Lonchura striata: one gene and its partners. The protein of the gene in region 1 interacts with the protein of each later gene in a biochemical or structural test. Links are inferred from orthologs where the notes say so. Each region holds a gene or a part of one and is shown on either strand. Other genes may lie near its edges. The genes, in order: PEX5, PEX12, PEX7 and AGXT.

Region 1 (7,736 bases):
GTTTATGCTTGCTTCTTCTACCTTTGTTTATGCTGACCTAAAAATCAAGCCTTTGATTCAGACTGTGAATTAATACAGATGCCACTGTGGTGACGATAAATGTATGATTTTCTACTTTAATATCACAACGTATTCATCTGCTCCCCATGGGATACTATGTAGGTCAAGAAAATTAGCAATTCATTAGAAGTCTCTGTCAAAAGCACAGCCTAAAAGCACTAGGTTTTCATCAGAACTTTCTCTAAGACCTTTGTAACTTCTAATTTATATTCCCAGAAATGTAAAGAGTGGAGGTCAAAGAGTGGAACTATCCAGCTTTCTACAGTGGCCACTCCTAGAGAGGAAAATAGCATATGTTTGATTCTTTTCCATAATTTCCAGATTAGGGCATGTATGGTAACAGGACCCTATTCCAGAGCCAGTTCCATACACAACACAGGATGGCTTTTCAAATAAAGCTTAACCTTTGAGCTAGAAACACTCACTTTGCACACTTCTAGGCTGTAACATCCCTCTACCTTCATACCGCTGACACACAATATTTGGCCAAATCACATTGGAGACAATTTACCTTTGTACCAAAGGCAATTTAACCTTACAAGAGGGAATTAGAAAACATGTAAGCAAGAAGCAGTACAAGGCCATCTCCAACTTGCATCAGTTAAATCATAGTTTTTATAAAAGCAGTTTAAATAGCATGCTTCTCCTAAATTCCCTAAGTAGTCTAAGCTAACAACAAAAGACCCTTACACCTAAATAAAAGCTTCCACACCACATTGCTCATATTTTGACTTAACCATAACACCAACACAAAGCAGCTTTCCTACCCTCTACCCCATTAAGGCTGCTAAAGGAAACACTGACTGCTGGACCCAAAGCAATACTCTAAATTCACATTCAGTAGCTCTCCCCTACACACAGGCATGTGACTGGACGTCATCTTGACAGTAATTCCAAAAAAGGACACTTCACCTGTCACTTCAGCAATGAACTCCTGTGACCAGTCAGCCTCATTGTAATCTGAAGAGACATCACCAGCATTATCTGCTGCAGCCAAGAATTCCTGGGTCCAGTTTTCAGACAGTGCCAGGGCTGCAACACCTGGAGCTACATAAGGAAAAAAAAAAATTAGAAGTGAGGCCTGGAGCACTCAAAGGCACCATTTACGTGTTCCAGGCTAGCCCTAATCACCTCTGATCTTTCTCTTTGTTAGAATAAATTCACAGAAATATTCCACTTGGAAGGAGTCTCTGGAGGTTGCTAGAGTTCTCACAGCAGATTAACATATATACATACAGAACATTTATCAGGTAACTTCTGAATTTGTCCATGGCTGGCAATTCCCCAGCCTCCCTAGATACCTGTTCCAGTAGTGAACTGCTTCCTCCAAGGGAAGAAATGTTTCCACACACCTAGTCAATTCCACTTGCCACAAATTGTGTCCATTACTCCTTGTATTTCTCCTGACTCTTACTGTGAAGATCCTGACCATGGCTGCTGAAGACAGCAACAAAACATTCTACCTGCTGCCCCTCAGGCTCCTCTTTCCCAGGTTAAAATGTCCAGGACCCTCAGCCTTTCCTCTTATGACATGGATTCCTGTCCCTTGAATATTTTATTGCACTATGATGAATTTATTCCAGCACATCAGCATACTGGGAAGCCCAAATCCAGAAACAATACTCCACATACAATCTCAGAAGAGCTTAATAGATAGGAACCACCCTGCTAGGAGCCTAACCATAAACATCAAGACATTTTCCAGTCTCCACCTACTTCAGCTCCCCTCACCTCGCTGAGGGGCCTGTCGGAAGCTTGACTGTTCAATCTCTTGCATCTCAGCCAACAGGTCATCCATCTTAAAGGTCTGGGGTGCACGGGACAGCAAAGGGGCATTCTGAGCTTGCAGAAACTCTCCAACCAGCTGCCAAAGACAGAGATGGATTGCAAACATTGCGCAGAAGATGAACAGGCAGAGACGTGGAGTGTGAAAGAAGGGCTTGTCAGAAGAAAATATTAGCATCAGGTAAGGGGTAAAATAACAAACAGTGTTGATGTGAAAAGCTTTAAGAAGATTAATCAAAAGCTATAAGGAGAAGAATTAATCTCTCCTTACCTCATCTTCGGTGGCTACTTCCAGTGGTTTGGATACCTGCGGGGAATGGTGGGCAATTGTGTCAACAGTTTTGATCCCATGTCCCTCTTTACACACACACAGTGTGACCCAATTAGATCATATCTTCCTCTTCCTTGAGCTCAGCCTGTCAACATTTTTCTTGCACTAGCTAAAGTAGCAGGAACACTTTGAGGGATCCTGTCCAACCCCCTCCCACTACTGTCTGGCTTAGGGCCTGTGACAGCAAGGCACACAGCTCTCCACAGCCGCCAGCATCCCCGAATGCCCACAAACACACCCTCACCCCCAACCCCGCTTCGGGTGGCGGGCCTTTTTCTGAAAAAAGGCACAACACGACACCAGCTGCGCGGAGAGCCACCTGCCCTGCCGACCCCAGCCCCGGCAGGACCCAGCGAGCGAGCAGAGCAGAGCAGAGCAATACTCACGGCTGCGGCTTCGGGCGTCCCGGGGGGCCAGCCCAGGGAGCCCTGCAGTCCTTCCTGCCGCAGGGCCTTGTCCTGGGTGAAGTGTCCCGCCAGCTTCATCAGGGGGTTGGAGCCCCCGCACTCCGGCTCCACCAGCTCCCTCATGGCCATGGCGCCGCGCACGGAGCGAGGGAGGGCCGGGCCGAGCCCCGCCGCGCCTGCACCTGGCAGCGGGGCGGCACGGACGGCGGCTGAGCGCCGGGCCGAGCGCCCGCCTGACCCCGGCCCGCCCGCCACCCGCGCCTCCCCGCGGGCCCGGCCCGGCCCGGCACGACACCCGCCTGCCCGCCCGCCAGGACGGCGCGGCCGCGGCCCCCAGCCCCGCGGCCCCGGCTGTCCCCGACCCTCGCTGCCCGGCGCGCTCCGCCCGCGGGGCTCCCCCGCCGCTCCGTACCTGGGGCCGCCGCGGCGCGCTGGGCTGCGCGGCGCGGCGGGGCGGGGCCAGCCTTAAAGGCACAGCGCCGGGCGCCCCGAGCGGCGAGCGCCGCGGCCACCGCACCGCACCGCACCGCCACCGCACCGCCACCGCACCGCCACCGCACCGCCACCGCACCGCACCGCACCGCCACCGCCACGGCACCGCCACCGCCACCGCACCGCCACCGCACCGCCACCGCCACCGCCACCGCCACCGCACCGCACCGCCACCGCACCGTACCGCACCGCCACCGCACCGCACCGCCACCGCACCGCCACCGCACCGCACCGCCACCGCCACGCCACCGCCACCGCACCGCCACCGCCACCGCCACCGCACCGCCACCGCACCGCCACCGCACCGCCACCGCCACCGCACCGCACCGCCACCGCACCGCCACCGCACCGCCACCGCACCGCCACCGCCACCGCCACCGCACCGCCACCGCACCGCCACCGCACCGCCACCGCCACCGCCACCGCACCGCCACCGCACCGCACCGCCACCGCACCGCACCGCACCGCACCGCACCGCACTGCCGGAACCCGCGCCCCCGGTGGCTCCCCCGCCGCGCACTGCTCCCGCAACTCCGGAGCCGCATCCCGAGCGGCGTGCCCCTCTGCCGGCCGTGAAACGGTGTGCCTATGTATATGGTGTGTACTATACACATCCTATTGTATTTGCATAATATACATAAACATGTATATATATTCATATATATGTGTGTGTATAGATATTCATATATATATTCATATATATTCGTATATATTCATATATATTCATATATATATAGTAATATATATTAATATGTATCTTATATATATGTTATATATATTCATATATATATATAGTCATATATATAGTCATTCATATATATGTATATGTATGTGTGTATATATATATATAAGATATATACATGTTTGCACCATACCCATCTTGTTTTATTTGTGAATATACATAAATATATACGTACATATATATATATATATATATATATATACTCAACGAGGTGTATATGGTACATATGCATAGATGAGCATATACTGTATCAGTACATATTTGCCCAGCTGGTGGATTGATATTTTACTGTCTGCTCTGGAGTCGCTAAAATGTTTCAGCTGGCAACTACAGGTTGGGAATGCAAACATTTAGCTGAAAAGTATGTGACGCCTTCAGACAAGGCATAGAAATGTCAGCTCCTTTCCAGCCTTGATTCTTCTACATTTGTGGTTCCAAAGGACAAACCACCTGGAAAATCAAAGGTCATTTGTGTGTAGCCTCTAAAAGAATGGGAAAAGCGCCAAGAGGGGGTTGTACAATGTGTGCTGACTCCCGTGACATTAGGTTCCTAGAAATAAATCATTTTCAGAATCAAATCCCATCTTCTTCTTTTCAAAGGAATATGCACCTCTGCAGGGTCCTCTCCAAATTTGTCAGGTTCGCTTCATCTGTCCAAAATGTGACATCTGGTGTGGTTTTAGACACAATTCTTTGGCAGTAGGTCTTCCTGCCTGCTCTCCTTACAGCTTTGAAATTCATGTAGCATCTACAGCCAGTTCTGTACTAACAAGCAGTATGTATGGCTCAACAAGGACTATACTTCTTAAAGTTATAAGAATTTGGGCTGGAGATACAACATCCACACCAAACATGCTTGGGGAGCTTTAGTCTGGACTATGTCTTCTTTGGTCTCATGGAAGCACCCCAATTAGTGGTTGATGTGCCCTATGTGCAGCTCAGCAGCACCAAAAAGGAATCTCGTTTGTACACCGAAGCTGTCCTGCAGGACAAACCCCAGCCCAGCAAACAGGGATCACTGGAAGATTCATTTTGAAAGCACACTTGTGGCATCCTGGAAGGTTAAAATAAGACTCACCTGCTATTACTAGATACCAAATCCTATGTATACTCAGTGTGATCAAGGGTTAGCAAGAACACTTGAAGAGATAGTACAATAGACCAATAAATAACACAAAGACACGGAGAAGGGGAGTGTAGGCATTGAGTTAAGGCATGGACAGAAATCCAAAAGCCATCACAGACTTGGTGGGGAGGAAGAGATGAAGTAGTTTTGACTTGTAATATTTGCAACAAGTTTTTGGGGTATACCCATGACACCAGCTTGGCCTGCTGGTTCAGATCAGGGACAGAGAAACACTGCTCTATTACAGAAAGCCCCCACAGCCTTCCTTCTGAAGGGCTGTATGGCCCTTTATCCCTTAGAATCTCAAAAGACTTTGATGCAACTGGAAGGACCAGAAGTGGCTGTGGTGGCAAAGCATCCAGGACAACCACAGCTATAGTTGTTGGTGGATAAGTATCCTGCTGAAGCCACAGCTATTTCTGCTTGCAGGCAGAAATCAAAGGATCTGATCTAAAGTCAACAGGAAAAGAAACAGAGTCAATGCACCTCTACAAGTGAAGTTTAAATAATTTGGCAGCAAGAGCTAAAATATCAGGGGGGCCAAATAACTCTTGGAGGGATGAGAGAGGCAAATAGTACAGCTCCTGAAAAGGCTATTCCAGGCTCTGCATCCTTCAGCTGTTCTGAATACCAATACTCTGGTAAAGGTGCTGATGGAAACCAGTGACAAAATGGAAGTCTCTGTCTAACTATTCGTCATGCTAACTTTGTGAAATTCATTATTTCTTTCCAAGTACAAAACTTACATGCTTTTATTAAATCTACACTTTCAGGCTATTTCTCCCATTGATCAAGATCATTTGTATATGAATTTTTTTCTACCAAATCCTTTGCAAGACCTCTCAGGTTAATGTTGTCTGCAGATTTTAATAGACACAATTTTCTGGTCCACTGTATAAATTACTGGGGAAAAAACCACACTAATAGCACACTGAAAACATATCTCTGAAGGACTCCTTGATACTTCTTTCCATATAGACAGCATAACATCAAAAACTAATCTTAGAATTTTCCAATCAGCATCAGGCTCTCCCAACAGTGATTTCAGTAGATCTGGTTTCCCATGTTTCCTAATGTGCTTGTTAGACTGCCAGATAATAAAGAGTAAAAATCCTACTGAAATAAAAAAAATTAGTATCTATTGTTACTTCCTTGACCACAAGGACAACTCTGCCATGAAAGATTGGTTTAACTTGATCTCTTTTCTCTGCAAATGAAAACATGAATTGTCTACATATTTATTTGTTCCTGTATCACAGGGAATACAGTAAAATGATGCTGGCAGGCCAGTAATTAATCAGGTTTCCTTTTTTAAAATGGCCAATATATTTGGCCTATTCCAGTCTTCTGAACTTCTCCATTGCCTAAGATATCTCAAAGATAATGGCCAGTGGGCCATTCTCCAATTTTTCAGTTATTATCACAGCATGAAGTTCATCAGCCCTAATTGGTCTGAAAACCTTGACTTTGCCTAAGTGCTTAGAAATCTAGAGTACTTTTTTCCCCACTTGCAACTGGTGCTATTTAAGATATTCACCTAGCCACCACCACAGTGAAGACAAGTGAAAAATGCTTGGAGCTTCTAGGTATCTTTGACTAGTTTCCAATTTCACTGACCAGAAAGCCAGTCTTTGTACTGGTCTTCCCCTAATTGCCTAGGTAGTGAGAAGCACTATTGATAAGCTGATAGTTCTGCTCTTTTCCACCGCAGATAAGGTACTAATTTCCTTTTCAAAGAATCTTTGTACTTAATTTGACTCTGTTGCCATGTGTCCCTTAATTCCTTCTCCTCCAGACTAAAAGCTACAATTTTTTTTCAATCCTTCTGCTTCAGTGGCCAAGGTAGTTATTCTCCTCTGTGAATTCACTTCCTACATTTGTTTCTGTTGTAGCAGCATTGTACCCAAACTGGACACTCAGTCAGTCCCGTGTCACTCAGTGCTGTGAGTGAAATCACAGCAGTATAGAGCTGTTCTGACAGCTCATTTCATCTGGCCTACAGGCTATCCTAAACACATAAACTGATCTGATATGTGCCTTTTTGGCAACAGCATCATGTTGATGTACATTCTGCTTTTTTTAAGGAAGATGACATTCAATGAACTCTGATGTGCTCTGAAACTATGCATTTTAAAAAGCAACAAAGGATCTTTTGCCCCTGAATATTCCCTTTCTCACACTGATCCTCCAAACTTTGAAGTCATGGGTCTAATTTATTCAGACGGTTGGGGTTTTTTTGTGGAGAGCATTGGCCCGTTTTCATATGAACCCAAACATCTGAAGAAGCATCTGTGGTCCCATGAGCGAGGACGAACATCAAGAACCACTTGGCTCTGCTCTTGGACCCATCGCTTTCCCGTGGTCAAAAAAATCAGTTTGCCTTGGCTCCCCTACATGCAAAACAAAGATGAGCTTGTTTAAGTTTGGGGGGTCGGTTTAGAGGCTTGGGGAAGGGAATGATTCCATTGTTTTTAGTGGAAGAGCCTTGAGTGGCCGGGCCAAAGGAGCTGCGTGAATTTTCACGCGTACCTCCGCGCGGAGGAGCCCCGGCTCCCCTCGCAGCGCCCCGCCCGCCGCTCCCGCTGCCGCCGCCCGGGCGCCTCCTCCGGGCGGGCGGGGGCTGCCGCGCCGGGGCCGGGGCCGGGCGGCAGCGGCGGGGCCATGTCGCAGCACAGCACGCTGCTCCACCTGCTCGCCGGAGGGTGAGAGCTCCGGGAGCCGGGCGGGGGCAGGAGGGCGCCCTGGGGCGGGATTCGGGCCGCGGGTCCAGCAGCAGCCGCCGCCGGGAGCCGG
Region 2 (6,946 bases), on another chromosome or scaffold:
GGTATTACTTGGCAAAGCTAGGGATTTAAAAGGCTTGGTAAAAACACAACACTGATGCTCAGCACAGCTTCCTAAATTCTCAGTCTCAGCAGGCAAAAGGCATTTTTTGAACTCCTTATAACCAGCAGATGCTGGTATGCTCTGCAGCTGTCCTTCCTGGGTACACAGATTCATTTTCCAAGGAAAAGCACACCCAGTGTCTTGCCTGGCAGTGAGAAGTCCACGTTTCAGACAAAGAAAACTGTCATCTCATCTCCCCCTAACGATATCTGCCTGTGCTTGCATCTGATGGAAGGCACAATTAACCCCACTTGCAACACCCACCCCCAGGCCTTTCATTCCTTTCCCTCCTTTTGTTCCCAGATGCAAAACAGTGGTTTTTTTTGAAAAGAGAAGCCATTACTTTTCAGTTCTCTCAGGCTTGAAATTGAAATATTTCTCTGCCAAGATCTGACATCCCACCTCTGAAACACACACACAAAGCTTGTTATTTCAGTGCTGCTTCTGCTTTGTTTTTTTTTTTTTTTCCTGTGGACAGGATGGAAAAATGCTGTTGGAGCAGCAAACACTCAGCAGAGCCATGAGAGTGGTCTCACCAGCACTTCTCTTGCCTTGGAATACAGGGATTGCCCAAGCAGGATTCATGTGGATATCCATCATTTTATTCTTACAAGTGTTAGCTCTGTGACAAATATGAGATAATTCTCAAAACAACCAGAGGAGTGACTACTTTTACTGCTTTTGATGAAAGTCTTTATCAATGCTAGCAACTATGACCCTAAAACCATCTCAAAAAGGATGTTATAATTTCTTTCCTCCTTTTTCTATCTTTCTGGCCCAAATTCCCCTTTTCTTACACATCCTTCCATGACCTTAAAGGCTGCCAGCAAAGCAGTAAATCATCTGTTCTCTAAATGCTGCCTTGTCTTGCCTCTAAACCCTGCAGGTCTTGCTGGCTCAGCAACAAAAGGACCAGCACAGCTTTGAACTCCAGGACTGCCCAGCAGCAAAGTCAGATTGTTCCTCCTTAACTCCTTCCTCCCTCATCCCTTCACCAACCCCAATGCCATCACCATTCCATTTTTCCCCATCCACCTGGACCAGCTGAACACCTCAGCAGTTGAATTCCAAGCAGCTGCCGACGGGCAATGCCCCAATTTCCACCCCTTTCTCCTGGGATCATCCTTTCCAATTGCCAAACATCTGCATGAGGATCAACCTGTTGCTTTTCCCAGTTTCCTGGAGCTGCTGCCTGCCCTGTGCCCACCTGGTTTCCACCTCATCCAATTAGGCTGAATTACTGGGTTTGGTTTGATTTCTCTCCCTTTCTGCTCCTGCCAAGCCTGGAGACAGCTCTGGAAACACATTCCTGGTGCAGAGGAGGTTTAACCTCCTTCCAAAACAGAGTTGGGAAAGCCATGTGAGCCACAATGAATGCAATTCTTCCAGCAAAAATCTAACAGCCCCCCCTGAAAGCAGAGGCTGCTGTGAAGCTTGTTTTGTAATTAAAATCAGAGCCTGTGCTCAGCTGCAATATTACTGCTGACAGAGTCCTTCAGGTTTGAGCTCAGCTTAAAAGGAAGACTTAAAATGTTTTTCTCTGTGAGAGTATTTGGCACAGTGCCATGCCCAAAGCACTGAACGTGGCCTTGATGTTTGCATTATGTGGGGATTTGTCATCCAGGGTCACATCTCAGCTGAGCTGCTCTAACACAGCTTTAACTGGGGCCAGAGCAGATTAGAGAGAAAATGGAGGGGAGGGAAAAAAAACCCAGCCCAAACACCATAAACATCAGCCCATTTGAATAAAGCCACACACAGAGAGGAAGGAACCCTGCTGGCTTTCAGAGATGGTTGTTAAACCTCAAGTGCAACATATTTTGCTGTTTTTCTCCTTTCATATACTTGGAAACATGAAGAATCCTAGAAACGCTCAGACAGGGCTAAGCACAGCTCATGCCTTTCCAACCTTCTTTCATGGATCTAAATGAGAGCTTAGGTCAACAACCAGCCTGCCCTATTCCAGGTGCAGCAGAGGGTAAAGCTCCTTTTCTCACAAGCACACAGATTGCTGCTTCATGTGTGTCAGAGCTTGCTTTGCACACTGTTCAGAGACAGCCTGCCAGCAGCACTGGCTATTATCTCATCACTAACAATCTCAGCATTCTTTACAGCAAATGGAACCAGATATTTAAAACACTGCTGTTTGTGTCACTGCAGAAAATGCCAGCTCCTTGTACGCAAATCTAAACCCAGGAGAGCTAAGGTAAATTAGAACATCAAGAACAGCCTTGTATTTTCAGAAGAAAAATCTACTTTAGACTGCCCCTCCTCACTATTGTTCTATGCCCAGCACTTGCTGAGATGGAAACAGGTAAGAGGTGTTCAAAGCTGACAGCAAAAGGCTCCTCCTGATCCAACCCCAGCAAAGGAGAAGAGATGAGAATGAGGAATGGCTCCAGAAAGCTCCAGCAATGCTTAATGCTACAAACAGTGGCTTGATATTTCAGTGTAGGCTGAACCAAAGCAAGATAAGCCTCCTCAGCCCCAACCCACACAGAAAACCTGACCCTGTGTCTGACCAACACCTGCTTGACCCCACACATGACCCCAGGCAGCCTCACCCGCTCCCCAGCACTGACCCCACACAGGAGGGTGACAGGTTTAAGGGTCTTGGATTAAGGCAAGCTCCTGGACACTGAAACCATCAATCCCTAAATCTCTCAACTGATCCCTGGTTTAATTCCAGTGTAAGTGGTGCCACCCATTTTTCCTGGAAAGCCTCTCAAGGAGCTGTGTGACAGCCCAAGTGTGGCCCAGGGCCACTGGAGAACCAGGAAGATAAACACAACAATGGAACATGGATGGCAGAGGAAGAGCTGCTCTGCAGCCCTGAACTTGTGCTGGCACAAGGATTTTGTTCCCATTCTGGAGACGCAACACCCCCTTGGTGGTCCCCATTCCACCTGTTCCTCCTACCACCTACCACCATTCCTTGGAAGCCCCATCCCAGCTTTGCTGCCAGCCCCTCCCACACCTCCAGCAGGACTCCCAGCACCCACCCACACTCCAGACTGGCATCCCCCTAAGCCCCCTGCCCACCAGACCTTCCCCAGATCTCTCCCAGGATCCCCCAGCTGCAGGCACATTCCCCACAAATCCCAGTTTCCCTCCCAGCATTGCCTGCCAGTCCCTCTTAGTACCCAGCCCTTATCCCTAACTGCTCCCACTGCTACCCCAGTACCTTGCTGTGCTCATTCCCATCCCAGTCCATCCTCCAGCACCCCCACCTCACCCCAGGACCCACTGACCCCACTCCTCACCCCTCCACCTCCTCTGCAACCACCTGCCCACTCCTCCCATCCTCTTCCAGTCCACCTCCAGAACCACTCCCAGTGCCTGACCAGCGACTCTCCCCACGCCACTCCAGTTCCCCCTCCCAGGAGCACTCACCCCCTCCCAGTACCCCCCTGGTGCCCCTTCCCACCCCACCCCAGGTGTCCCTCCCAGTACCCTTCATCTCTCCCAGTATCCCCTTCCCACCTATACCAGTGCCCCCCAGTATCCCCTCCCATCGTCCCTAAGCAGCATCCCTCTCTCCCCGCCCCACCCCAGTACCTCACAGCTTCTCCCCCACCCACCCCTCCCCACCCTATGGCAGCACCCCACCGCCGCCCTCCCCTCTCCCAGATCCCCTCCCAGCACCCGCTCAGCCCCTCCTCATTCCCCACCAGCGCCCCTCCCCGCCGCCCGGCCGCCGCTCCCAGCGCCCTCAGCCCCGGCCCCCTCACGGACCGCACTCACCGCTGCGGGGGCGGCGGCGGCGGAACCGGAAGCGGCGGGGCCGGGCGGGCTCGCGACGGCCCCGCCACCATAGAGCGGCGGCGGCGCGCGGCGCGCGCTTCCGGGAGAGCCCCCTGGCGGCGGGGCGGCGGGCCGGCGGCATGGCGGAGCTGGGCGCGCACCTCACGGCCGCCCCGGCCGGCGAGGAGCGGCCGTCCGTGTTCGAGGCGGTGGCCCAGGACAGCCTGATGGCCGCCGTGAAACCCGCCCTGCAGCACCTGGTCAAGGTGAGGGCGAGGCGGGCCGCGGGTGAAGGGAGAGGAGGGGGGGCTGGCGTGTGACTCCGGCCGCGCTCAGGGGCAGCGGGACGCTTGGGAGCCACCTGAATTGTGGTTGTTATGTGTAATAAATATAATTTGCGCCATTCCTTGTATGAAATATGTAATATTGAATACTTGTTAAATCATGCCCGTCGTATTAGTTCGCCCCGCACCCTTGCAGGCGAGACTGGGTGTATATTGGAAACTGATTTATAAGTAAAAAGATGTGGCTCGGCCAGGAGCTGGGCCATGGCTGGGCTCCAGGTGTTGATCATCGGTGCTGATCGTCCAAGATGGATATGGAAATCCTCAGACAGATCCATGTGAATGCAGCCTTCCCGTAAACTCTCATCAAGAATTCAACTACTCCGGACATTGAATTATTTCTCCTCATCACCAAAAAAAGAAAATCTTATTAACCTATAGACTCTGAATAGAAGAAAAGACTAACTGCTGGAATCTTGGCCTCAGGCGGAATTTTCCCTATAAAAACCGCTTGTACCAGGATGGAGGTGTGGGCATAGGAGAAAACCTCTGCTGAGGCTGACTCCTTGTTGCACACCCAGGGTCGATCCCGGGCTCGGCTCTGTCCTTTCTGTGTGGCTGGCTAGATAGAATTTGACCGCAAATAAAATTATTTTTATTTTTAATCTGGCTGAATAAATTCTCGTTTATAACATGGTGAGAATGAGAGGCATCGTTTATAGCTGCTCTGATTTATAATTTAGCGCTTTACTCTGCTTTTTACATCCTTCCCTTCCTCAGGCACAGGCTGCCCAGAGAAGCTGTGGCTGCCCCATCCCTGGGATGTTCAAATCCAGATTGGACGGGCCTTGGAGCAGTCAGGGATAGCAGAAGGTGTCGGGCTGGAACCGCATGATCTATAATGCTCCTTCCAGCCCAGACCACTCTGATTCCTCCTGTTTTGTGTCCCTTTTCCAACAGGTGCTTGCTGAGTCTAATCCTGCCCGGTATGGGTTCCTCTGGCACTGGTTTGATGAGATCTATGTCCTTCTGGATTTGCTGCTCCAGCAGCACTCCCTGGCCAGGTGCAGTGCATCCTTCTCTGAGAACTTCTACAGCATGAAGAGGATCCCAATGGGAGATGGCAGACAGCGACCTCTGGCCACAGCTGGCCTGCCAAAGAGGCAGCACTGGAAGTCTCTGCTCCTGCTGGTTCTTGTTCCTTATCTGAAAGGGAAGCTGGAGAAACTGGTGTCCAGCCTGAGGGAGGAGGATGAGTACTCCATCCACCCTCCCTCCTCATCCTGGAAGCGCTTCTACAGAGCCTTTCTAGCTGCCTACCCCTATGTAAACATGACCTGGGAGGGCTGGTTTCTTATCCAGCAGCTCTGCTACATCCTGGGCAAGGCTGAGCATCATTCCCCCATGCTAAAGCTGGCTGGTGTCCGCCTGGTCAGGCTGACTGCAGAGGATATCCAGGCCCTGGAGAAGAAATGGGCTGAAACCACCTCAAGTCAAACACACAGGTATGGCAGAACCTGGCTCAGGTGTTGCTCTCCAGGGGGTTCTGTGGGCATGTAAATTTAGAGATGATGCTGCAAGTACAAGTGCCTTGTTCTCCAAAAATTCAAGATGAAAGTTTGCTCTTGACAAAATGTGCTCCAAAAGGATGTATTGTGAGTGAAAATAAGTAAACCAGTAGCAGGGATTAGCTTTAAACTATTTTGTGGTAATATTTCAGAATTTGGGGGCGTTTTTGGGCATGGAAGCCTTTATTCTGTTCAGTCTTCCCCTGCACTTTTCCAGCAAAGGAGGTGCAACAGTTGCAGCAATGTTGCTGAAAGGATTGAAACTTCTTTCTTTGATTTTCCTAAGCAGCAGTTAGTCATGGGCACACTCAATACCCTGTGATGCAGGAGTGAAACACTCTGTGGTCCAGGATCCTTTAATCCAAATTCTTCTGATTTAGACTTCTCAAAAAAGCAGCATTTGGATATTCCTTAAAATAAAAAAAGTATCTGAAACATCCTAGTAAGTGCAAATAGGGGGACGCATTGACCAACTAACTTAGCGTTAAGGAGCTGTGTGAAGCAGTCACTCCCCAGGTGCTTTTCCCATGGTTTCTAGATGGATAAATGTGCAGTAGTAACCACCTCTCCTGCTTCTCTCTGCTCCAGCTTTATCTCACGAGTGCAGTTGGCCCTGAGGAAAGCTCTGGCTGGCATTGCCTTCTCCCTGTCCACCGGCCTGTCCGTCAGCGTGTTCTTCCTCCAGTTCCTGGACTGGTGGTACTCCTCAGAAAACCAGGAGACCATCAAGTCCCTGACAGCGCTGCCCACGCCCCCACCGCCCGTGCACCTGGAGCAGGAGCCCGGCTCTGCTCTCCTGCCCAGCCTGAGGACCGTGTGCCCCCTGTGCCGCAAGGTCCGCGTGAACGCCACGGCCCTGGCCACCTCCGGCTTCGTGTTCTGCTACCGCTGCGCCCACGGCTACGTGAAGGCTCACCAGCGCTGCCCGGTCACGGGCTATGCCACAGAGCTGCAGCACCTGGTCAAACTCTACTCCCCTGAGAGCTGAAGGGCTGCCAGGAGTCTCCAGCACCTCTTTGTGCATCCCTTGGAAGGCTTCAGAGCACCGCAGCTCCTCGGTGAGCTCTGCAGCGCCCTTGGACTCGGTGGTTGGTCAGCTTTGCTGCCTTTGCACACCCTGGCAATGCTCTGCCCTTTGCTGATAAGCTGTTCAAACATCCTGGCAGTTGCAGAGGGATCATACAGCCCCTGCCTGTCAGCCAGCACTGAAGTGCCATAAAAGACCAGCTGAAAGGGAGGAAACATTGATCCTCACATCTACATTCCTCTTATCCAAATCGAAGACCAGCA
Region 3 (7,004 bases), on another chromosome or scaffold:
TATTCTCACTCCAGGTCACATCAAACAGTCCATCATTCCAGTCAAAGCTAAATTGGAAAAATGAAGATATTTGTCTGTGAGAAAACATGACATAAAAGTCTGAGCTAGTTCCATGCAAAGAAACTATTTATATCACCCTTTTTACCATTCTAAACAGCATTTTTATATATTTGAGTTTCAAGTGAATCTCCTCACTATTAATTTACTTGTTTGAATGTCAATTTCTACAACGTTATGCCAGAATAGATTAAGTTAAAGCATAAATGAGCCAAGGACCTTCCACACATGAAGAAGGAACTCTTATTCCAGTCTAGAACTTGCCATGCAAAGAGGTACAACACGCCTCAGTCTGATCTATGGTTTCTCCAGAATATAAGAGCACTTTGTTTCTAACAACTGTGGTAAAGAAAGAAATAAAGCTGTGTTGGGAGGGCCTTATCCAATTCACACCACTCTGAATCTCAGTCACAATGAAAACACAACAGAAATATAACAATGAATTTACTGAAGAACTCTACACCCCCTTGAAAATGCTTTCAACACACCAACAATTCACAATATGGTATCTGATGCCTTTTATTAGTTATTTTGCGACAGCTACTAATTACTGCAATATTATCTGATGGGAAAAACTGATTTCTTTATCTCCTTTTCACTGAAGGTTTAGCTAAGCTTAGGTCAAATTTGATGGCACTCTGCAGTAATGATCAGGTGCACATGGAACACTTTGATAAACAATACAGTCTGTGGGGTCAGGAACTGAAGAGGACCTTCTACCACAAAATAAGTGGAGTCACTGAAAACAGAAATGAACTGTACTAAACCAGAGTACTTAACAGAAGTAACAGAGTGTTGAACATCTTCAAAGAGTCTTATTTTATAATTATGAATCAAAAAAGGTTTCTCAGAATATGATTAACTATTTTTAAGCATTTTCATGTCAACCACCTTAATCTAAACAATCATTGTTTCAAGACTTTCCTTAAAAAAATTTAGGTTAATAATGAACAAGTATTAAACTCCTTCCTTTCTAACCTCTCTCCTCCTTCCATCCACAACAAAATCAATCTCCCTAAAACCCCTAGAAAATTGTATCTCCTAGGAAGGACCTCCACGACTTGATGTACCTTCCTGCTCTATTTTCAGTATAAATCAATCATAAGGGCATACATCTAGGTGTCAAGGCACTATTCCTAAAAAGCTAGAACTTATAATTTCAAGCTAGGGCAGAGAAGCTCCTCTTAATGTACATTGTCAGTTTTCTACAAAATAGTTTACACCATGGAAATGATGCAATGGTGCTAGCCAGATGATTTCCCATAACAAATTCGATGCAATGTAAACATAACTTTTGTATTGTATGTAAATACAAATACATTCATTTCTATGTAAATACAAAGACCTGCATTCAGTAGTTACTTCAGAATTTAAAAAATACTTTGTATTGCTAACAATAACCAAAAGTATTTCAGTTATGCCTGGTATTCACAAGTACAGAGTTTTTATCTTAGAAAATTAAAGATAAGCCTGTATTACCTCCTGAGCAGAACAATCCCAGCTTCGTTTTGTTCCAGCACTGCCAGAGTTCCACAACCTAAACCAGCAAAATGAAACAAAACATCACAACTAGTTCCCCAATGCCAAAGGAAACTGGGGTAGTTCTGAAGTAGCTTCAGCGTGCAAAAACAAAGGGCACATGAACTTTAAGAGGCCTAACAATTACTTGCATAATTAAACATCTTGTCTTTAAAATTAATTTACATCACATTGTTCTGGTTTGATTTTGGGGGTTTTGGTGCTTCTTTTGTTGGGATTTTCTTGTGGTTTTTTGTTTGTTTGTTCTGTTTGTGTTTTTTACTGCAGTATATCTGTAGGTGAGGTTGGAAAAGACTTGCTTATAAAGCATAAAAGTGCATTTTCCCCATGGCCTCACATGACAGACATACCAACACAGAGTTGCTTTTGTCTTTTTGATAACACAGCAGACCAAACACTTTTTTCATCCCTTCCTGAATACAGTAATACAAACACAGCTCACCATAAACTAAATAAACAATTAAATTCTGATAAAATGCACATCAGTTCTGCTTCCTCATCTGATGAGGATATTGTTAAAGTAATTCTACACTTGGATTTTTTAAAAAATTAATATTTTGGAGTATCACCGGAAATGAAAAATATGCCAGTACTGAAAGACGCTCAGCTTGGCTCTTTCAAGAGACCACAGGGTCACTAGGGCCTGCCTGGACACTCGGGGACTAAGACAAAAACAGCTGAAGGCACAGAAACACAGAGATAGCTGAGCTGGAAAGGACCATCAGGGCCGAGTCCAGCTCCCGGCCCTGCACAGCACCATCCCAAAGAGTCACGTCCGAGAGCATCCTCCAAACACCTGCGCTTCTGTCCGACTTGGTGCTGTGACCACCTCCCTGGGGAGCCTGTTCCAGCGCCCAACCGCCCTCGGGATGGAGAACCTTTTCCTGGTATCCAACCTAAACCTCCCCTGACACAACTTCAGGCTATTCCCTCCAGTTCTGTCACCGGAGAAAGTTATCTTCGGACATTTTATTCACTGTGTACGCCTTTACATTTACTGTCGACCCTATCAAGTGAGCGGGTGCGCTGCGAGAAGCACCAGGGCAGCAGCGGGTTGGGAAGAGGCGATGCCGGCGGGCTGCGGAGGGCAAGGAGCAGCTCCCGCGGCACCCCCGGCACAGGCTCCGTCTCAGGGCAAAGCAAACGCAGCGGAAAGGGAAGTCGTCCCCAGACGCTTTGGCATTTGACAGACACCGTCTGTCCTTCCGCACACCCGCGTTTCCAGCCTCCTCCTCAGCCGGGCTCCCGGTCACCCCCGCCGCGCCGCCCCCCGCACCTGCCATGCCGTAGTACTGCGCGGCGGCGCAGGCCACGCGCCCCGGGCAGTATGGCGAGAACTCCACCGCGTACCCGTGCAGCCCGGGCAGCCGCAGGGCGCCCGCGCCCGCCGCCGTGCCCATGGCCCCCGCCCGGGCCTCCGCCGAGCCGCGGAGGAGCCGCGGAGGAGCCGCGGAGCAGCCGCCGCGCCCCGGCCCCGGCGGAAGCGCCCGCCCGCCGGGCGGTGCCGGGGCCGCGGCGCAGCCACCGCCATCTTTGGCCATGGCAGGGGCGGCCCGCGCGGCGGGCGGGGAGCGCCGGGCTCGGAACGGCCTTCCCGCCAAAGCCAGAAACGATCCGCGCTTTTATTCGCCACGCAGGACATAGGCCGGCTCGGTGTGTGTGCACCAGCTCGAATGCATGAGATGTTTCAGTCATAAGGATGTGCGTTAGCTTTCATTTTTCCTTTTAAAAAACACCTTCTAAGCTTTTCATTCTCCTAATTTCTTTAATAGATCTGCATATTTTATCATTCTTCTCAGTATGCAATTGGGTTTTATGGAAGTCTTTTTATGAATAAACTTCTTAACACCCGTGACAACTTCTGTTTAAGTCACTGGGAATTTTGCCTTTGAAAGGAAGAGGTGGGCAGGTGATTAGCAAGCTTAGAAAATTAGTAGCAGAGCAGCAGCTGCAGCTTTTGCCATACTACATCCTATGTATATATCTGTATCTATGTCCCTTAAAATACAGACACTGAGATTATTCCCGTTGGACACACAGCACCCTAATTAGTCACAATGACCCATCTTGTTTAAAGATAAAAATGCAAAAGTATCATTTTACACTTTCAGAAATTACAGCAAAGGTAAATTAGATTATTTAATCACAGATACCTCATGAACTTGGACCATAGTTATGTAGTCCCGCTACCTAGCCTTATATTTAAAACTAAAATGCAAAAGTATCATTTTACACTTTCAGAAATTACAGCAAAGGTAAATTAGATTATTTAATCACAGATACCTCATTAACTTGGACCACAGTTATGTAGCCCCGCTACCTAGCCTTATATTTAAAACTAAACCTTTACTACAAAGTCTATTGTAAAGCCACAAAAATATTCATTTGCTTAAACTGGCACTCATATGCAGAATTAGGCGGTTGTACTAATTCTTCAATCTTGTAATAAAAATGAAAACAAGTATATTTATTAAATAGCCTCCAGGATTTTAGAATAAAATCAGTTCAGTGCAAGTGAAGCTAAATTTAATGTATCCTTTGGATTACTACAGCAGTTCTCAAAGCCTCATAACTGGCAATTTACAGGCTGCATTTATTGACATCATGTGAGATCAGATTTTTTTAACCCTGAGGCAAAGGAATACCTTACAGAATTGGCTGCTCCGGGCCAAATTCAACCAATTTTAGCTTCTGTGGAATCTTCTTACATCAATTTTTCTTTTAAAAATGCAAGTTACAGGACAGTTTTCTGATCAAGTGTTTTTAAATTAATTGCCCTTTGTGACTGGAATGTCAGTAGCAATTCTTGAAAAGACACAAGGCCACCACAGGGGTACAGTAAGCAAATTTGGACATTGCCATTTACAAGGTGTCAGGGAGTCAGATGCTTAATGGTGTAAAGTGCCGTTACTCTATAGACAATTTATCACTGAATTGGAACAGTTTCATCAAGTGCATTTTTTCCAAGCTGGTAGATCTTTCGTAATGAGTGAAATTCTCGAAAGAGGTTATACAAGCAGGAACCAGTTCTTATCAGTGGCCCAGCTTTATTTTAAAGACACAATTAAAAGAATTTTCATAGACATAAATATCAAGAAGTGGATAAAAGGTTACAAGGAAGTCCAGAGAGAAGGACTAGTTCTCAAACATTTTTTTCACAGATAAACTTGTGAATTCTGGTTTTGAAGATCCAGGAAGTAGAAAGCAAAATAGTATGGTCAGTGAAAGTATTTGAACAGGATGGTTTCAAGCTAGAATAACGACAAAAGAAACAAAAGCTATTTTACAGGCAAAGAGAGTAGGTCCCAACAAACGAAGTTGCTAAACACGACTCTATTTCCTCCTCAGCCTCTGAGCAGCTGAGTAAATTCAAGAAATATGAAGGACCACCAATCATAGCAGCATTTTACATGCAGCTACTGAAACCAAATGATCTACCAGCCAACTCCTTTCAGCTAACACCAAATCACAGAATCACAGAATTAATTAAATTGGAAAAGACTTCTGAGATCACTGAGCGCAACCTATGCCTGAGCACCACCATGTCGACTTGACCATGGCACTCAGTGCCGCATCCAGGCTTTTCTTACCTACCTCCAGGGACAGTGATGCCACCACCTCCACTGGCAGCATATTCCAATGTTTGATCACCCTTTCTGTGAAGAAATCCTTCCTAATATCTGGCCTAAACCTCCTGGACTCAGTTTGAGGCCATTTCCTCCCGTCCTGTCAAAAGTTGAAGGGGAGGAGAGCCTGACCCCTACCTGCCTACACCCTCCTTTCAAGGCGCTGTAGAAGTCGATATGGTCATCCCTGAGCCTCCTCATCTCCATGGTGAACACCCCCAGCTCCTTCAGTTGCTCCTCATCAGACTTGTGTTTCAGAGCCTTCACCACCTTTGTTGTCCTTCTCCGGACTTGCTCCAGCACCTCAAGGTCTGTCGTGAACTGAGGGGGCCCCGAACTGGACACAAGACCTGAGGTGTGGCCTCACCAGCCCAGAGGGAGAATCCAGCCAGATTCTTCCAAACAGACGGATCCTGCATGCAGCAGTAGATGGCAGCCATGTTCCACGCAAAAAAAAAAAAAAGAGTCCTCAGTTGAAGGAAAAAAATCCCCAACTACACTGAAATTCAAAACACAATATAATTCCAATTAAAAACGGGAAAGTTGCGTAGTATGCAGTTTTCAGCTAGCTTTATGCAGCTGTCACTTCTCTATGCTCTGCTCGCAGAAGTACCCTCCTCGTTAGCATTAGAGTAAGTGTTTGGGATCCTTACTGCAGTATCTCCACCCTTTCAGACCCAAGAGCTCTGCTCTGTTACAAACACGTCTCTCATTTCCTCAGCTTGCTAGCTGACAGCCAGTTTAGGTGTGAGCTGAGCTGGCAACCATCATTGCTGTGTGCACAAATCCTTCCAAAACCCTTGATGGTCATCAGGAACAGTAATCAGAAGGGCTCGAGTCCAAGAGTTTGAACAACTTATAAGAAGAGCTTTTCTACCAGAGAAGGTAGAATGTGAGCTATTTCCTCATGTGCAAGGGCAGGTAGCTTAAAACACTGAAAATATTCAAGGAGAGCAGTTAATTTTTGTCTGTCTTTTAAACTATTGAACCATTCCCTAGGCTCCATGCCATCAAGATTTTCTTCCACAAGTGAATGCTTATTGACCGATAGAAGCATAGAGATGTTTCCAGTTGAAATCTTCATATCATCATAAAGCTGAATGTGTTGCAGCTTTAGAAAAAGCATTTAGAATCCCAAGGTTCATTTAAGATTGAAGAACTGGCAACATTGAAAATAAATAAATAAAAACAACCAATGGGATTGCAGTAAGGAATGCAAAGGGAAAAGACTCCCCTTATATGTCTAAACTGAGGGTTATGGCATTTGGAAGGAAGAGGCAGTTAGCATGGAGGTTTTCTGGAAGTTCAAAAGAATAAAAGAAGCAAGAGGAGGGAAAGACACTGGAGCAAATGAAGATTTAGACATGGAGATTTAGAAAGAAATGTGAGAATTATGAGGAAAGAGTATGAAGCAAGAACAGCACACAATCTTCACCATTCTCACAAGAAAAGGGCTACAAGGAAGATCCTGACTGGTGAAATATCCATCCCTGATGATGTATCCACATTGTTCGGTCAGGTTTTGCTGGCTGCCTCCCATATGCACCATGCTGTAATTTGGTAAGCAGATTCCCCATGTTATTCCTATTCCATGATCAGCTGCATCCCTACACAATGGCCACCAGTCTCTATTTACCTTCTGCCCGCACTTAAATATTGTTTTAGATGTTCAGTGTGACTATAAGTGTACCTTTTCTTAAAGACTGGCAGCTGCCTGCCTCAAAATACTGCCTTCTCCCTGCTGAACTTAGAAGTTACTTCTCATTGTCTATAGTGATATAC
Region 4 (7,229 bases), on another chromosome or scaffold:
AGGACTCTGCCCACCTTGCCCACCGTGGGGCCCAGGCCCCCAGCGATCTCCATGCCGTGGTTGTCCATCAGAAAGGCCGTGATGTCCTCCCAGTTGTAACCCTCGGGCACCCTGACGGTGGTGATGGTGGGAAGTCTGGCCCTCTGAGGAAGAGAGAAACTGGTTTCAGTCCCACGGCCCCTGGTGACCCCAGCGCCGTGCCAGGAGAGAGCATCACGGAGCGGGGAGATTTTTCTCTGGCATCAAAAGCTGCCCAGGCACATCTCCAGCTGCACAGGGCTGTGCCCTCACGCTGCCCCCACTCTGTGGTGCTGCTGGTGGGCTTGCCCTGCACCCACCTCCTCCTCCACAAAGAGCTCAAGCCCCATGTCGAGCAGCCCCTGGCACAGCTGGGTGCAGTTGGCCCGGTGTCGCTCCCAGGAGCTCTCCAGACCCTGTGGGCAGAGAGGAGAGAGAAGAGAAGGTCTCTGCTGCTGGCAGGCATCTCCTGGCACCCACGGCTCCTCCGAGCCCCACGGGCACTGCTGGTGCTCCCCTGCCTGCCTGGTGCCACTCACCACTTCTGCCAGCAGGGCCAAGCCTTCCCGCAAGCTGAAGAAGCTGTTGATGGGCGCCGTGTGGTGGTACCTGCAAGGGGCACCCAGGGGCGTTCAGCTTGGCTGCAGCACGGCAGCCCCTGAGGGAAACTGAGGGGAAACTGAGGCACGGCATCCCCCCTCCTCACCACCCAGTGCAGAGGGTGTGACGAGCAGCCAGGGTGATGGGGAGGCAGGGGGAGGGCGGGCAGCCCCCGAGCCAGGACAGAGGCTGGGTGGGGAGTGCTCGCAGCCGTCTGTAACGAGGGAGACCGCCCTCACCTCCTCGGCTCCCCGTCACAGCCCCAGTAGTTTGCCAAGCAGCCCACGTCCAGATAGAAGGATGGGGGCTTCGTCTTCCTCCTCAGCAGCTTCTCCCTGGCGAAACAGAGTACCGGGGAGAGGTGGGACCTAGACCCCACCAGCTCCAAGGTGGGATCAGCCCTGTGGGAGGCAGGAACTCCCCTACAGTGAATGCAGAGATTGGCTCCAGCTCCCAATCACTGCCCAGGGATGGGATGGGCTGTGCCCCCATAGCACTGCAGAGCAGGACAGAAGCAGGTGGCTAGCAAAGGAGAGAGGTGACAACCTCCCCCAGCCACATCCACCCTGCTGAGACTGGGCTGCTCTTACCTGGCTCGCTCACTGAATGAGATGGGGGCACTGCCAGGGGGTGTGTTGAGGACTTTCTGGGACCCCGAGTACAGGACATCGATCTCTGCCCAAGAGGGAAGACAGCTCCTTAGGAATCAGAGGCTCCCAGCAGGAAAATGCTGAGCCCGCTGACCTAGCTGCAAGTGGTGGGTGGGAAGCACAAGGATGGCACACATGGCAGGTCCCACTTGTTTCAGGCTGCTTTGGGAGGGCCCTGGCACTGCTGATGGTGCCCCAAGGGGAACAGGCTCTCTGGATGCATCTGGACAAGTTTCTAGTGCTGCTAGCCAAAATGCAGGCCGAGGGCCTGATCCCACTGCTCCCTGCCCCTGTCCCAGGCATGAACCCCTTTGTCCCCTGGTTCTTCATGGTGGCACTGTGGCTCTTACCCTGCTGGTCCATGAAGATGGGGGCTCCCCCAAGCGATGCCACTGCGTCCACAAGCAGCAGGCAGCCATACCTGTGGAAGGACAGAGCTCAGCCTGGTGTCCCTGCCACCTCTTCTTGCCACATCTCTGGCTGCAGCCCTGGCATCCTGGTCCCCACAGGAACTGTGTGTCTCACTGGCACCAACTGCTTCCAGCACAACGGAGCCAGAGAAGAGCTCAGCACATATAAACCCCCAGGCCCAAATCCCCGGTGGTGACCTTGGGGTGGCCATCGGGCACTGACCGGTGGCACAGCTCGCCCAGCCCCTCCAGTGGCTGCAGCACCCCTGTGGAGGACTCGCCGTGGGTGATGAAGAGCACCAAAGGTTTGTGCTGCAGCAGGCCCTGCATGACACAGGGGGAAAGTGACCACACTGGAGGTCAGCTTGTGCCCTCTGCATAGTGGCCAGCGCTCACCTGCTCAATGTCCTGTGGCGTGAAGTACTTGCCTGGGGGCTTCAGCAGCTCATAGACATTGGCTCCTGGAAGGAATTTGGGCAGAGGAGAGTGAGGTTTGGGCATGCTTCCCACTGGGCACTCATCTGCTCCATGGGGCAATTGATCATGCATGAACCAGGAGCAGAGCCACCTGCCGGAGTCTGGCCTCCTGCAGATTTGCCCAGTGGAAAAGCCATAAAGCACCATAAATGGAGTGGCATCATTCTTGGAAAAACCTGGAGTGCTCTCTGGCAGAGTGCTCTCTGGCTTTGCAAGCCATGTCACTGAGCACTGCCAGCATTGGGACAGCAAACCAGGGCACCCTGCCTTCAAGCCCAGTCCCCTGAGGCCTGCCACACCACCTGCCTGTTCCCAGCATACCCAGCCTCCTGGCAATATCAGCAGCACGCTGTCCCCAGATGCCGTTGATGGCCACCAGCACGGTGTCACCTTGCTCGAGCAGGTTGACGAGGGCGGCCTCCATGGCACAGTGGCCGCTGCCGCTGATGGCCAGGGTCAGCCTGTTCTGCGTCTGGAAGGCGTACTGGATGCCCGCCTTGATCTCATCCATCACCTGCGGCAGCAGGACACTGGCCAGCACTGCTATTGCTCCTCTTGCCCCAGCAGAGCTGTTCCAGCCCTTCCTGGGGGTGAGGAAGAGGAGGGGAGGGAAGGAAGGCTGGGCTGGGGCAGCTCACCTGCAACACCTCAGGGTGCATGTGGCCCAGGAGCTGGCGAGCGCCCGCAGCCCGGATGCGGCGGGGCACGTTGCTGGGCCCTGGCCCGAGCAGCAGCCTCTCGGGCACGGCCAGGGGCCGCAGCAGCTCCTCCGGAGGGGCAACGCGGAGCAGTCCGGTGGCCATGGCACGCCGTGCTGTCCCCAGGAGCTGAGCCCAAAGAGGAGGAGTAGAGGAGGCTGCCTGAGCAGCTGCCAGCATTGCAGCACAGTCTATCCTGTGCCAGCAGTGTCCAGCGTCCCCACGGACCTTGACCCAGTATTCAGTGCTCCCCCCTACCAGTCTGGACTCTACCCCTGGCTGCCTCCTCTGCCTGGTTAATGTGTCATCTCTGCTATCCCTGTCTTGGGCCCCTCATTTTGGGGGATGCTCCCTTCAGGTATGCCAGCCTCTGGGACTCCCAAGCACTGTGGCAGTCCTTGTCCCCGTGGCCCCCCACAATACGAGGGCTGATGATTCCCAACAGTGTCCCAGCAGGTGGGATCCTTGCTCTGGGCACCTAGATCCTGTGCCACAGGATGGCTGTGCAGAGAGACTGGTCTGGCACAGCTGCCATGGTCGTAGCTCCTCCTGCAGCAAAAAGTTCCTGTTGACCAGGGTGCCCCGACCAGGGACCTGCCCTGGAGAGTGACATCTGGCAGGGTGACAGCCTGAAGGAGGCTGGCCACTGGACTGATGTGCACCAGGGCTGTGGACTGGAACATGGACACAGTCGTTGCCACAGCGAGCTGCGCTCTTGCAGGCACAGCTGGACCATGAGCATCCCAATGTGTCCTGAGGGTGCCACAGGCCCCACGTGGGGTCGATATTCTGTTACCTGCTGTGTGTACCCACAGCACATTGCCCTGCGCCTCACTTCAGCCACATTCTCTGCCATCCACACCCTGAAATGCAAATAAGCTGCCTGCTGCCAGCTTTAGCAGATCCATGAGTGGGTCTCTGCTCAAAGGAGCCCCTCAGTGAGCAAAGCTTTGGCTAGGGATGAGAACAGGGGTGAGCACAGGGATGAGAATTCCCACCCGGCAGAACTGGCACCAGTGGCCGCTGCTGAAGACATACCAGACAGAGGCACGGGGCCAGCAACAGTGCCAGGTGAGAGCACATCTGCACCACTGAGAGGAGCTGGGGGCAGATGAGTTTGATCCCGCATGGCCGATGGAAGCCACAGTCAGCATAGGGACTGCTGCCCAGCCATCATCCCACCAAAGCGATGACGACATATCGGATGAAGAAGATCTCCCTGTCCTCTAGGGAGATTTGGGGCATGGCTGGGGCGGGGAGGGGACGCGTGGCTTCGCGGCTGCCGTGGGGCGAGGGTGGCCGTGCTGCTGGAAACAGCTGGCAGCGAAGGAATAATCCGCTTTCCGCGCAGGCTCTGGATTCCGGGCGCAGACGGGCAGGAGCGGCCGTGCCCCGGGCGGCGGGCGGGGGCTCGGGACCGGGGCACGGGAAGCGCTGCCCAGCGCCGCTCCTCGGAACACTGCGCCGGAAAACAGGGGGAGCGGTGTCCGGACCGGGTACCGGGGCACCGGGGTACCACCGGGCCGGTGCCGGTTGCCAGGCGACATCTGCCGAGCCCGCCCCGTCCCGCCCCGCCCCGCCCCGCCCCTGCGGCGGCTCCGCAGCGCGGCCGGGGCCGGGGGATGCGCTGACGTCACCGCTCCATCCCCGAGCGCGCGCTCCCGGTCCCCGCGTCCCCCTCCGGGCGGCGGCGGCCGCCAACCAGCGCGTGGGGCGGGGACCGCAGGGGCGGGGCCGCTGCCACCCGCACCGGCGCCGGCACCGGCACCGGCACCGGCACCGGCACCGGCACCGGCACCGGCACCGGCACCGGCACCCGCACCGGCACCGGCACCGGCACCGGCACCGCATCGCACCGCGCGGCTCGGCCTCATGCCGGCGCCCCCCGCCCACGGCTGAGCGCCGCGCCCCTCCGAACCGGCCGCGGCCACGGCCGCGGGCATCACAGGTAGGAGCGGGCGGCATCGCGCAGCCCGGGGCAGCCCCGCCGCGCCCCCCGGGGCGCTGGCCGCGGGGGAACCGGCGCCGCTCCGGGGTGGCGGAGCCGCCCCTCGTGGCCCCGGCGGGGACGAGGCGTGGCGGGCGGGAGCGGGATGCGCATCCCCGAGGGTCCGGCGGGGCGGGGGGGCTGCGGCCGGTGGCCATTTCGCGGAGCCCCCCGATGCTGGAAGTTGTGGGTGTGGGGAAGCTGCCCTCGGGTCCCCAGCGCGGTGACCGCCGGGTGCCGCCCCATCTTCCAGAAGGATCCAGCCGGGGTGCGGCGGGGGGTGCCTGCGGACCGGGAGACGCCTCTGCCGCCCCGGCCCCAGCCAGGGTGCGAAGGGGAAGGATGCTATCCCCGCAGCCCATGGCGGGGGACCCCTTGTCACCCCAGAGCCACCCCTGCTCTTCCCTCCAGGGCAGATGGCTGTGGTGATGCTGCTGAGCCATCTTGCGTCATCACCATCATAATGCTTCAGACTTAGACAGCAGCGCTGGAGGGAGTGGTGGATGCCCCACCTGGGGCTCTCGCCGCGGCTAGCTGGCAAGGATGCTGCGATGCTAAGGCTGCTCTTGGCCCCCAAGGACGAGCAGCTGACGGTGACCTTGCACCGTGGAGTGGCTGGACAAGGGCCGCCATGTCACTGCGGGCCGGTGCAGCGGCTGCTCGCTGTTGAAGGGGCAGGTCCCGGGGTGCCGGGCTAGTGCAGAGCTCATGCTTGGTCACGAGGCTCGCACGGAGCAGCCCTGCACCTGCCCTATTGTCTTACTCCTCTGCTTCCTTCTCCCCCTCCCCCTCCTCCTCCTCCCCCTCACGGGGCAGGGACCCCTCCCCTAGATCCCGCAGACCCCGTGTGAGCCGGGCTCCTGCCTGCTCAGGTCCCATGCGACAGCATCAGGGCTCGGGGAGGACAAGGGACCAGCCGAGCATCTCCCGTACCAGCCCACAGCCGGGCACCCTTCTGTCCCAGCGCCCAGAGCAGCCCCACGCAGGTGGCCTCTGTGGCACTGGGGGGCAGGGAGGTAGCAGACCCTCCCCCTCCCCTGGGGATGGCCAGGGGTGTGGTGGCTCTACCATCTCGGCATGCTGCTGCTGACCTCCATTTTGTCTGGGAGGTGGCAGCTGGCGCTGGCGAAGATGCTGCCACCACCCTCCACCTCCCTGCATGTGGCAAGAGCTGCAGCCCCTCAAGCCCTGGGTCGTGTGAGGATCTGTTTGCTGCCCCCTCCCTGGCTACCCTTCTCCATGCCCACCAATGCTGGGCATCCACCGGAGCTCACTGCCTTTTTTGTGCATCTTTTCCCTGCTTTGGGTTGGCGTGTCTGGAAGAGAGGATGGAGGGAGCAGGGATGGGGGGTGGGGTTACTTTGCAGCAGAGATGGGAAGCAGAACCCCTCACCCATGTCCTTGTATTTTCTACTTGTAAACTGAATCCACATGGAAATTCTCAGGGAGGTGCAAACTCTGCCTTGGGCTTGTGTCCCCTGCTGGGGTGGGCAGGAGGTCAGGAGGCACGGGGCAGGGTGCCTGTGGTGGCACTGGGGAAGCAGGGGCTGGCTTTCCTCTGAGAGTGGGGGGCATTTGCCCTTGTCCTGGGCTGTCCTTTGAGCTGCTTCCCTGCCTGCAGGTGCTGCTCTGGAGAAAACTGCACCGTCATGGCCCCTTGTCCTGTGTGGGGCGGGAGGTGGGTGAGGAGCTTGGCTGGCAGGCACTGATGGTGCCATGTCATCCAGCAACGTGTTCCCTGCTGCCCTAGAGGCAGGACAGAGTCTCGTGGTCCCACTCAGAGCTGGGGGGCCCCAACAAAGGGTGCAGGGGAAGGGCTCACCACAACAAAGGCTGGCAGCTGCTGAGAATGCACCGGTGCAGCCAAACCCTCACTGCACCGGGGCGTCCACCCTCGTGGGGCTGGATGTGTGCAGACAAAGGGAAACTCACCTTGGATTTCCCTGGGTGCAGGCAGCTCCTCATCTGCTGGAGCTGGGGGACCAGCAGCACAGCACGTTCCTTAGCCTCCTTTGGGGAAGAGCTTGCTGGTTGGTGGCACCTGGGGACAATGCTCTCTCCTGTTGGTCACCTCTCAGCAGGAGAGGCTGCCAGTTGGTAGCCCCTGGACTTAAGAGCGGTTTCATTAGCTAATCTCTGCCCAATTAATCTTAGCTGATCCAGTTAATCATGGCTCTCCAGGCCTTTTGCTCCTCACTGGGGGTGACTGGCGTGTCACAGGGATGGGCAGAGCCAGCAGGGAAGTGGGGGAAGAGATGCCCTGCAGAACTGGGGGCAGGTCAGATGTTCCCCCTGGCCCCAGGGACTTGGCTGTTCCTCCTTGCAGCCTCCCTTGTGAGCAGGGCAGCCCTGTGGGGGGCAGGGAGGGAACAGGGAGCCGGGCTTTGGT

What was found.
Region 2: the proteins of PEX5 (region 1) and PEX12 form a complex in vitro, tested with the Homo sapiens proteins (2 studies listed by BioGRID). The link is inferred for Lonchura striata from reciprocal best matches to the Homo sapiens genes PEX5 and PEX12.
Region 3: the proteins of PEX5 (region 1) and PEX7 form a complex in vitro, tested with the Homo sapiens proteins (3 studies listed by BioGRID). The link is inferred for Lonchura striata from reciprocal best matches to the Homo sapiens genes PEX5 and PEX7.
Region 4: the proteins of PEX5 (region 1) and AGXT are reported together in a solved structure, tested with the Homo sapiens proteins (2 studies listed by BioGRID and IntAct, with this or other methods). The link is inferred for Lonchura striata from reciprocal best matches to the Homo sapiens genes PEX5 and AGXT.

Annotation. Positions count from the first base shown.
Region 1 is NC_134604.1:29,894,232-29,901,967, reverse strand, and holds the start of PEX5 (peroxisomal biogenesis factor 5), read right to left. Parts: upstream 3,019-7,736; 5' UTR 2,996-3,018; intron 2,786-2,995; exon of another isoform or gene 2,766-2,785; 5' UTR 2,713-2,765; coding exon 2,563-2,712; intron 2,153-2,562; coding exon 2,117-2,152; intron 1,925-2,116; coding exon 1,792-1,924; intron 1,108-1,791; coding exon 973-1,107; intron 1-972.
Region 2 is NC_134622.1:5,984,644-5,991,589, forward strand, and holds the start of PEX12 (peroxisome assembly protein 12), read left to right. Parts: upstream 1-3,927; 5' UTR 3,928-3,944; coding exon 3,945-4,070; intron 4,071-5,048; coding exon 5,049-5,593; intron 5,594-6,244; coding exon 6,245-6,644; 3' UTR 6,645-6,946. UniProt on the Homo sapiens protein: Component of a retrotranslocation channel required for peroxisome organization by mediating export of the PEX5 receptor from peroxisomes to the cytosol, thereby promoting PEX5 recycling.
Region 3 is NC_134605.1:50,688,011-50,695,014, reverse strand, and holds the start of PEX7 (peroxisomal biogenesis factor 7), read right to left. Parts: upstream 3,014-7,004; 5' UTR 2,997-3,013; coding exon 2,873-2,996; intron 1,595-2,872; coding exon 1,537-1,594; intron 48-1,536; coding exon 1-47. UniProt on the Homo sapiens protein: Receptor required for the peroxisomal import of proteins containing a C-terminal PTS2-type peroxisomal targeting signal. Specifically binds to cargo proteins containing a PTS2 peroxisomal targeting signal in the cytosol.
Region 4 is NC_134612.1:4,677,541-4,684,769, reverse strand, and holds the start of AGXT (alanine--glyoxylate aminotransferase), read right to left. Parts: upstream 3,007-7,229; 5' UTR 2,959-3,006; coding exon 2,794-2,958; intron 2,670-2,793; coding exon 2,477-2,669; intron 2,140-2,476; coding exon 2,075-2,139; intron 2,003-2,074; coding exon 1,902-2,002; intron 1,690-1,901; coding exon 1,619-1,689; intron 1,294-1,618; coding exon 1,209-1,293; intron 954-1,208; coding exon 858-953; intron 628-857; coding exon 558-627; intron 435-557; coding exon 339-434; intron 144-338; coding exon 15-143; intron 1-14. UniProt on the Homo sapiens protein: Peroxisomal aminotransferase that catalyzes the transamination of glyoxylate to glycine and contributes to the glyoxylate detoxification.